2 linked regions of the Macaca mulatta genome follow. The protein of the gene in region 2 purifies or fractionates together with the protein of the main gene of each other region. This does not show direct contact. Links are inferred from orthologs where the notes say so. Each region holds a gene or a part of one and is shown on either strand. Other genes may lie near its edges.

Region 1 (5,113 bases), on a different chromosome or scaffold from region 2:
GGGGAAGCTAAGGAAACAATTCCTGCCAGTGATTGGGTTTTGAAAAGGAATCACCCAGTAGACAAGGGTCAGGGAGAAAGAATGCTACCTGAAGAGGGAATCGGACATGAAAAGCCCATGTTGCCAAATAAACCCTGAGATCTTTACATTCTGGGAATGACATTTTACCTTTGCATGAAATGAAAAAAGTATACATAAAAATGTATATAAGAAGGTCTATAAATGATAAAATCTGGTTTTCACAGGGATAATGCCCTGGTAATTTCTATTATGTATTTTAAAAAGCCTTGTGGGGTTGGGGGGGGGTCCCAAAAACACAAAATTTAGCAGTTCCATCTAATTATTTGGTGTCATTTAATGATAAAATATTTTTTCATATGAATGATAGGCTTATTATTTTTTTCTAGAATGTCTTTTTTTATCTATTTTGTTAAGAACATGAACTTATTGCTGTAACTCGTAAATGAAACCTTCCTTTTCAGAATAGTGTTGTTCTCTCTTATCATCTTACAATTGAATACCAGCCGAAGAAGTGTTGAAAAATTAATCTCTTCTTTCAGCATCTTCTCATTTACCAATCAAATGATTCACCTGTGTCATTTGTCTAAATATTGGAGTCATGGTTTGTGCTTTTAGCATAAATATTTAGTGCCAACTCAGTCTCTTTCCTATGTTCTGGGCCCTAGTTTATCTTTCTGAGAGATTGCTAATGTAAAATGTTTAAGTAAATAGTGAATGGTCCTGGAATAGGGCCTGATACTTGCATTACTGTTACTTTGTAGAATATTGTATTTTGATTGTGTTCTCTAGCCAAATTTGTCACATGAGATTCTTCCCAGTTCTTTGCTTTTAGTGGCTCTTATAAACACAGACTTTGACATATATTTAATATCTTGAAGAATAAAGATATCCTGTGATGTTACAGCCTGTCAGTACTATTTTGGGGTATAACAGGTGGGTAACCGAAGGGGAAAAGGCACGTGTGTGCTTGGGGTAGGGGGAAGATCCTTTTATGGAATTGAACATGCTAAAACATTGGTGAAGTTGTTCTTTCTGTGCACACTTAAGACAGCAGTTAGGATTAGATCTCTCATGAACTTCTAAGACCATCCAAATACTGGGAATAGGTCTGTCACTATTTCATTTTGCAAAAGTTGGCAACTTACTGTAATTCATAATAATAAGGTACCCTGGAAGTATACAACATGTTAAATATACAATATGTATATTTTTATTTTGCTCTCATGATTCCCCAGCTTAGTTTTTTAGTGACTGGGCACAATTATGTGTATGTATAGTGTGAGTGCATGTGTGTGCAGTTGAGTGAAGTGGGGAAAGTAGCGCTTCTATAGTTTGATGAGGGTTTTACACAAAAAAGCCACAGAGACTTTCCCTTAAATTTGGGAAAAGACAAAGATACCCCCATCATTGCCACTGTTTAATACAGTACTGAAGGACCTTTTCTTAAAAAAAAAAAAGTAATAGAAAAGTAATAGGATTGGGAAGGAGGAAATAAAAACTATGGATGATATGGATATGATCATTTACCTAGAAGAACCAACAGAATCAACAGACTGAACACTAAAATGAATACATGTAAATCAAGGTCGCCAGTGACAAGATAAACCTACAAAGACAACACTTCTCAAACCAGTAAAAATCAACTAGAAAATACAAATTCACAAGAGCAACAATATCTACAAAGACTACTATGAAGAATACATGAGAACTCTATAGAAGATCTGAATAAATGAAGAGACATATATCATGCCCTTAAACAGAATGACGTTATAAAGATGTCGAATTTCTCTCATTTTTTGAGAAACACAATAAACGTACCCTAGAATTTATATGGAGAAGTAAAAGTCCATAAATAGTTAAGTTATCTTTAAAGAAGATTGAGGGGCATGTTCTATCAAATATTAAAGTATAGTACAAGGCTAGTGCTATAAACAAACAAAACAAAACTGGGCACTAGTATAAGAACAGTTAAATACACTAATGCATGGGATAGAGATTTTAGAGAGAAACTTAATACGCATTCGCTAGGGGAAAGATGGATTGTTTGGTAAATAATGTTGGGGAAAATGGCTATTTGAAAAAAAACAACATTCTTAACTAACTACATACAAGGGTTGATTCTAGGTGGATTAAAGACATAAGGAAGGTAGAACTATAAAGTTAATAAGAGAAAATATAGGAAAATATGACCAAGGGGTAGGGGGAAGACCTTAGGTCAAAACTTCAAAAGCATAAGCTATAAGGCAAAAAAAAAAAAAAAAAAAAAGATGAATTGGATCACATCAAAATAAGAGTCTCTCTTTAGTGCCAGACATCCCAGACGTGGTTCATATAAGAGAGGATGAGAGATGGCTGCAATGTCTGTAACCAACAAGAATTTCTTGAGTATACAAATCAGCAAGGGGACAGTAACTCCTGTTTAAAAATAGAAAAACAAAATAGGAAAAGTCTATGAATAGGCTAACAAGGATACAAAGAGATGTCTGAAATTATTAGGAAAACGCAGGTTAACCTGACATACTTCTACTACACTGGCAGCAAATAGAAAGTTGGCAAATGCGGAGTGTTGGTAGGGATATGGGGACTCCTGTGCTTTGCTGTGGAGAATGGACAGGTACAGGTATTCTGCAGAATAATCATAGTACTAAGTCAAAAGCGGAGTACACATACCCTTTATCTCAGCAATTCTGTCCTGGTATATGTCCTAAGGAAATCCTCACCAAGATCCAAAGGGGAGATGTATTCATAGAAGTGTTATTTGTAGTAATAAGAAGTTGGTAGACAACCTGAGTGTCCATCTCTGGGAGAGTGGAGAAGGAAAAGCAGGTAGGTATACACATGGAGTATTATAAAATATGTAGCACCAACTGATTAAAAGTACACATAGGGGGCTGGGTGTGATGGCTCACACCTGTAATTCCAGCACTTTGGGAGGCTGCGGTGGGCAGATCACTTGAGGCCAGCAGTTTGAGACCAGCCTGGCCAACATGGCGAAACCCCGTCTCTACTAAAATTACAAAAATTAGCTGGGCCCGGAGGCTGAGGCATGAGAATCAGTTGAACGCAGGAGGTAGAAGTTGCAGTGAGATCGTGCCACTGTGCTCCAGCCTGGGGGACAAAGCAAGACTGTCTCCAAAAAAAAAAAAAAAAGTACACATAGGATCCTGGATGCTAAGTGAAAAAATAAAAACAGAATGAGATATAAATTCAAAATATACAAATAATACAGATCTTGTAAAAACAAATACTATTAATTAGATAAACACTAAATAGAATTGCCTCATGAGCTGGAAGGAAAATAGGAGAAAGGCAAGTGGATAAAAAATAGAAAAATGAAAGAATTTTAAAGCAGAAATGAAGAAGTTTTGAAAAGTTTGGTGATCTTTAAACTTGATTTGGGTTGAATGAGAGATAAAATTAATAGGAAGAACATCCTGCATACAATAACCGTTTTGTTTTCCCAATTTCTATAGGGTTGAAGCTTTGAGAGAAGCAGCAACTGCTGTTGAGCAAGAGAAAGAAATCCTTCTGGAAATGATCCACAGTATCCAAAATAGCCAGGACATGAGGCAGATCAGTGACGGTGAGAGCCATCTCCACAGAAGGGGCTCGTCTTTTACACTCCTTTAAAGAGTTTATGATAAGTGTGGGTCAATTTTTGCTTGACTTTCGGTATGCGTATACTAGGCCACAGCATTTAATGTGAGCCACAGAGAGCAGCTGCAGCTGTCAGTTTATTATAGCAGCCACTTACTCAGAGATTTCTTCCAGCATGCTCTCTACCCCAAGCCATGGCTGGGAGAGATAGGAAAAAGCCTGCAAGCTCAGAAGAGCTGGCCCCAAGCAGTAAGGCCATGTGTTTTATCCCAGGTTCACACTCCTAACTTCAGTTCTTCACAAGTTACTGGACTGCAAGAGATTAAAAAACACAGAGGAAAAAGGGTGAGAATGGAAGCAGAGAAGTAGAGACCAAAAAAAAAAAAAAAAAGATGAATTGAGGTACAACATAAAGAGAGGGACAAAATGCAGAGAAAATGAGGAAACTTGTAGGACCAGTAAAAGGCATGAATGTAAAAATGTGCTGTCATTTTCTTTTTTCTTTTTATGAGATGGAGTTTCACTCGTCACCCAGGCTGGAGTGCAGTGGCACGACCTTGGCTCACTGCAACCTCCGCCTCCCGGGTTCAAGTGATTCTCCTGCCTCAGTCTCCTGAGTAGCTGGGATTATAGGCGCCTGCCACCACACCTGGCTAATTTTTGTATTTTTAGTAAAGACAGGGTTTCACCATGTTGGCCAAGCTGGTCTCGAACTCCTGACCTCAGGTGATTTTGCCTGCCTCGGCCTCCCAAAGTGCTGGGATTACAGGCATGTGACATCACGCCTAGCCTGTGCTGTCATTTTCATGTGAAGAACATGTAATAGGTAGGAATAGGTCACTTGTGATTTTCTTTTTATTGGCACTGGACTTCCTACTTGGGCTCCTTTGGTGCCACACAGGCCACATGTTACTGGGCCAAGTGACTGGTGAGATAAGTAAGCAATCTAAATCCAGATCAAAACTGTTACACATCTATGGTAGGCCATGATCTAGTCTCTACACTGTCCTGCCCAAAGATCAATGAATTAGGAAGTTACAGAAGCAGGAGATTGCTGACTTTTTCATATAAATAATGAAATGTTGATAGAGCTCCTCATGCCGGTCAAGACTTTAGACCACTGTCCTGTTTCTATCTGGAGAAGCATGAAGTCAGTGCCTAGTATTGATGCCAGCTTATCTTCTATCATGGCTATATTTTCTCAACCAAAATTTGGGGCAGTGTATTCTGATAAATGCACATGTCGTTATGGAGAGATCTGGGACATCTGATCTCTGGAGCTGTACCCAACATAAATCCTATATGTGCTTACTGCTCAAAGGGTTAAGACTTGATCTCCATCCCAGTTACAAATGCATACCTACCCAAACTTTTGCAAACATGCCAATTTGAGAAGTCATCTAGTATCCCATATATAAAGATTGTCAGGAAATGGTATTCTACAACCTCTCTCTGTAATCTAATACATTTCATCAGTTAATCTTACATGCTATAA
Region 2 (5,113 bases):
AGGATAGGAGCAACTATTTTTCTGGAAACTATTAGGACAAGAAATATATTTGTTTCATCTAACAAATGTTTACTGAACATTTACTATATGCCACACATTCCGGCTAGATGGTGAGCCTTATAGGGACCATGAACACAGACCTCAGCTCAAGGAATGCACAAGGAACTCAAAGAAACATAGAAGCAAACTAGCCATTATAGTACTGTATAGTGTAGGAACAAAGGTAAGCATGGAAGTCTTTTGTGAGAGAAAGAGCACCCAACTTAACCCCTTAGATTCTGGGAGCAGAGGATGCTTGAACTGAGCATTGGACCAGCAGCAGGTAGGTATTAGAGCAGGGTGAGAAACAATAGTGTTCCACAGAGTAGAGCTCAAGTATACAAGATAATAATAGAGCAAACTGGGCTGGGTGGGGTGGCTCACACCTATAATCCCAGTACTTTGGGAGGCCGAGGTGGGCGGTTCACTTGAGGTCAAGAGTTCAAGATGAGGCCGGGCGCGGTGGCTCAAGCCTGTAATCCCAGCACTTTGGGAGGCCGAGACGGGAGGATCGAGACTATCCTGGCTAACACGGTGAAACCCCATCTCTACTAAAAAAAAATACAAAAAAAAAAACTAGCCGGGCGAGGTGGCGGGCGCCTGTAGTCCCAGCTACTCGGGAGGCTGAGGCAGGAGAATGGCAGGAACCCGGGAGGCGGAGCTTTCAGTGAGCTGAGATCCGGCCATTGCACTCCAGCCTGAGCGACAGAGCGAGACTCCGTCTCAAAAATAAAATAAAAAAAATAAAAAAAAAAGAGTTCAAGATGAGCCTGGCCAACATGGTAAAAACCCATCTCTACTAAAAATACAAAAATCAGCTGGGCATGGTGGCGGGCACCTGTAATCCCAGCTACTCGGGAGCCCGAGGCAGCAGAATCACTTGAACCTGGGAGGTGGAGGCTGCAGTAAGCCAAGAATTTGTGCCACTGCACTCCAGCATGGGTGACAGAGCAAGACTCCATCACAAAAAGATAATAATAATAAATAACAATAATAGAGCCAACTTGGAGAAGTGCATATACATTTTAGGGGTAGACATCAGATTTAAAATTACTTATTTTAAGCTAAAGAGTTTGGACTTTATGGTACAGGTTATGTACAGCAATTTAAGAATTTGAAGCAGGGAACTGCTATGACCATATTTGCAGAGTTACAATCCAATTTGAGAAATAGTGCAAATAGGCTGGGCGTGGTGGCTCACACCTGTAATCCCAGGACTTTGGGAGGCCGAGGTGGGTGGATCACCTGAGGTCAGGAATTCAAGACCAGCCTGGCCAACATGGTAAAACCCTGTCTCTACTAAAACTACAAAAATTAGCTGGGTGTGGTGGCAGGCGCCTGTAATCCCAACTACTCAGGAGGCGGAGGCAGGAGAATCACTTGAACCCAGAGGCGGAGGTTACAGTGAGCCGAGATCACGCCAATCTGGGTGACAGAGCAAGACTCTGTCTCAAAAAAAAAAAAAAAGTGCAAATAAGAACTCAAGTAATAACTGTATTAATGCAGTACCATTATAATTTATAAATGTATATATTTATATGAACTTATAAATGTGTATTTTTATTAACATAAAGGTATACAAATTTATTATTTATAGTGAATTATAAATTATTTTCTTCTAATACCTTTTTGTTATGCAATTATTACTCCATATTAACAATTTTAGAACAAACCCTATATATAGGGCCTAATGTGTTGAGATTACCAATGCAGATCTTATAAAGCACATTTGTAAAAGCAGCCTCATAGTACATAATCCAGTTAGCACTTAAAATTGACACTTTAATTCTAAGTAACTAAAGTTAGAAAATATAATCACATCCATATAAGAGGTATAATACCAGTACTATCTTAGAGGATTGTTATAATAATTATTTTTAACGTATAATAGGCATTAAACAAATGTTAGCTATTATCTAGATATACTCCCTATGATCAACCACATAATTATTTGGTCTCAGGATTTTAGGTCCTACCAACTTACCTCTCGTAAACTAATTTTAGCAGTATAAATTATATTTGATCCATCTCTTTTAAATTTTGGATGATCTTTGTCTTTAATGATAAAAACAATGTCTGCTGGAATACTATTTGGTGTTTCATCTCCTTCTCTTGGAAAAGTAATTTTGGTGCCTTCTTTCCACCCTTTTTTAATTTCAATGGTAAGAATTTTGTCCTCGGATCTGTAACTCCTTCCATCAGCATTTAGCCTTTTTCGAGAAATCTTCATCCGTTTGGTACAACCACTATATATCTCTTCAAGTGATACTCTAAGTTCATGAATAACTGGAGGATCTTGTTTGAGGCGGGATGGCCCCACAGAATTCCTGTCTCTTGGATATCCATTCATGCTGAAACCAAAGGCACTAAAAGGATCACCATCTATTTCCATTTCTTCAGAATCTCTACCACCACCCATTCGTCTTCCAAAGAAAATTTCAAAGGGGTTGGACCCTCCGAAAAATGCAGCAAATGTAGCATGAGGATCGCCATGAAAGGTGTACCGGAAGGTACCTCCTTGTCCATCAGTGCCTCCTGCTCCTCCTTTCAACCCTAATTGAAGAGATAAGCATTATTAGAAAAAAGCTTGCAACTCAAGTTAAACTTTCAAAAACTGTATTGCTAATAAACTTTGGCTAACTTACATTAAAATGTATTAATATTGGCCAGAAATGCCACTTTAAATACAGAACAGCTATAAAACTCTTAATGATTACATCCTAAGTTAAATTGTTAGTTTTCAAATTCTTCCTCCAAATTAGCACTCTTTGTTGTTGTTGTTGTTGTTTTGTTTTGTTTTTGAGACAGAGTTTCGTTCTTGTTTGCCCAGGCTGGAGTGCAATGGTGCAATCTCGGCTCACCGCAACCTCCGCCTCCCGGGTTCAAACGATTCTCCTGCCTCAGCCTCCCGAGTAGCTGGGATTACAGGCATGCGCCACCACGCCCGGCTAACTTTGTATTTTTAGTAGAGGCAAGGTTTCTCCATGTTGGTCAGGCTGGTCTTGAACTCCCGACCTCAGATGATCTGCCTGCCTCGGCCTCCCAAAGTGCTGGGATTACAGGCATGAGCCACTGCTCCTGGCCAAATCAGCATCTTTAATAATTTATTCCTGATTCTTTGTTCCTCAGGTAAGTAAGAAAAATAAAATAAGGTCAGGCGCAGAGGCTCACACCTGTAATCCCAACACTCTGGGAGGCCGAGGCAGGCAGATCATGAGGTCAGGAGTTTGAGACCAGCCTGGCCAACATAGTGAAACCCCGTCTCTACTAAAATTACAAAAAATTAGCCAGGTGTGGTGGTGGGCGCCCGTAATACTAGCTACTTGGGAGGCTGAGGCAGGAGAATCACTTGAACCCAGGAGGCGGAGGTTGCAGTAAGCCAAGGTCGCGCCACTGCACACCAGCCCAGGCAACAGTGTGAGACTCCGTCTCAAAAAAAAAAAAAAAAAGAAAAGAAAAAAAAAGAAAAAGCAAAGAAAATTAGGAACTTCTTATCTTATAAACTACTGATCTGGCATGCTGAAATATATAAATTATATAAGTATCTACTTATAAATATGTAAGTTTTTAAAAGATGTCAGTTGGAAGGTCTTCAGTAATTGATACAAAGTATAGAACTTAAATATTTAATTTATATTATAATCAAACAATATATATAACATTTAAAAATATAAATATATTAATAAAATATATTGTAAAATACAAGATACCACATTCATACTGTTTATATATAAATAAAATAGAAATACGTAAAAATATAATGTAATAAAAAATACCATATTCATTCTAACTAGTTTTATTTCAGATCATCTTTTACTGTTTAAGAATTAAAATAGGGCCAGGTGCAGTGGCTCAAACCTGTAATCTCAGCACTTTGGGAGAGCGAGTCGGGTGCATCACTTGAGGTCAGGAGTTCGAGACCAGCCTGGTCTACATGGTGAAACCCCATCTCTAGTACAAATACAAAATTAGCTGGGCATGGTGGCACATGCCTATAATCCCAGCTACTTGGGAGGCTAAGGCAGGAGAATCGCTTGAACCTGGGAGGCGGAGGTTACAGTGAGCCAAGACTGAGCCATTGCACTCCAGTCTGGGCAAAAGGAGCAAAACTCCATCTCAAAAAAAAAAAAAAAAAAAAAAATTAAAATAGAACTCTGTGGCAGAGAGTAAAAAAATTCTAATAATGAAAAATAGTTTTTTAGACACGAAAATTGTCATTCCTTCTCTAGATGCCAAATTTGTTTATCTAGGCATACCACATCTTAGCATTAATTTCAATGCTTATGAGAAGAAGACTGAAATCAAGAGCTGTAAACTTTGACATGTAAGGCCTCTATATGGGTTATTTCTGTCTCTTGTGAACAATCCACCTCAGGCAACAATATAGTGACTTTTTGACCCTTTGCTTAAAGGTTCCACTAAGTAATATTTAACCCAGAAAAGATTATATTTGAAACAACATTTTCCACTATGTGTGAAAGAAATGTTCTACTAAAACCCAAAAAACAACAGTATGGTGATCTTTTAGAGGTCAATACTGACCAAGAAACAAGCAGGAAAAGAATCTAAAGATCATAAAACTATGAAAAATTCAACAGGTTAAGCTAGGAGATTCTAATATCTCCAAACAGTGAGTGATTTGAAGGCAGGAAATATATTCATTTTGCATTGCTCAAGCATACAGGGCTGAAAATGGTAGGCATCCACGCTTAGTGAATGAAGGGAATGAACTAATTCCTAAAGTCCTTCTAAATCAAAACTAAAAAAAGTATCTTGCATATCAGTACAGAGAAAAAGGCAGAAGCAAAAACAATGTAAAATATAATCACACATATACATATATAAGAGATTTAACAATTTAAAATGCCACTAACACCAGCATACTTTAAAGAAACTTAGTTTTGCTTATGTCTTATTCTACATTTGGCTTCTTCCATTAAAAGGTATATATATACACTCTATTTCATCTAACAGAGTCTCAAGTGATATCTAAATTTTTACCTTCATCCCTGAATAGAATCTGGAGAGACCAAGAGAGACCTAATAATCTGAAAATTGTCAAAATATGTATTGA

Evidence for each region.
Region 1: the proteins of DNAJB4 (region 2) and BAG2 purify together in Homo sapiens (affinity purification with mass spectrometry; 4 studies listed by BioGRID and IntAct, with this or other methods). This does not show direct contact. The link is inferred for Macaca mulatta from reciprocal best matches to the Homo sapiens genes DNAJB4 and BAG2.

What each region holds. Positions count from the first base shown.
Region 1 is NC_133409.1:125,108,830-125,113,942, reverse strand, and holds part of BAG2 (BAG family molecular chaperone regulator 2), read left to right. Parts: intron 1-3,494; coding exon 3,495-3,604; intron 3,605-5,113. UniProt on the Homo sapiens protein: Co-chaperone for HSP70 and HSC70 chaperone proteins. Acts as a nucleotide-exchange factor (NEF) promoting the release of ADP from the HSP70 and HSC70 proteins thereby triggering client/substrate protein release.
Region 2 is NC_133406.1:162,537,185-162,542,297, forward strand, and holds part of DNAJB4 (dnaJ homolog subfamily B member 4), read right to left. Parts: intron 2,593-5,113; coding exon 2,024-2,592; intron 1-2,023. UniProt on the Homo sapiens protein: Probable chaperone. Stimulates ATP hydrolysis and the folding of unfolded proteins mediated by HSPA1A/B (in vitro).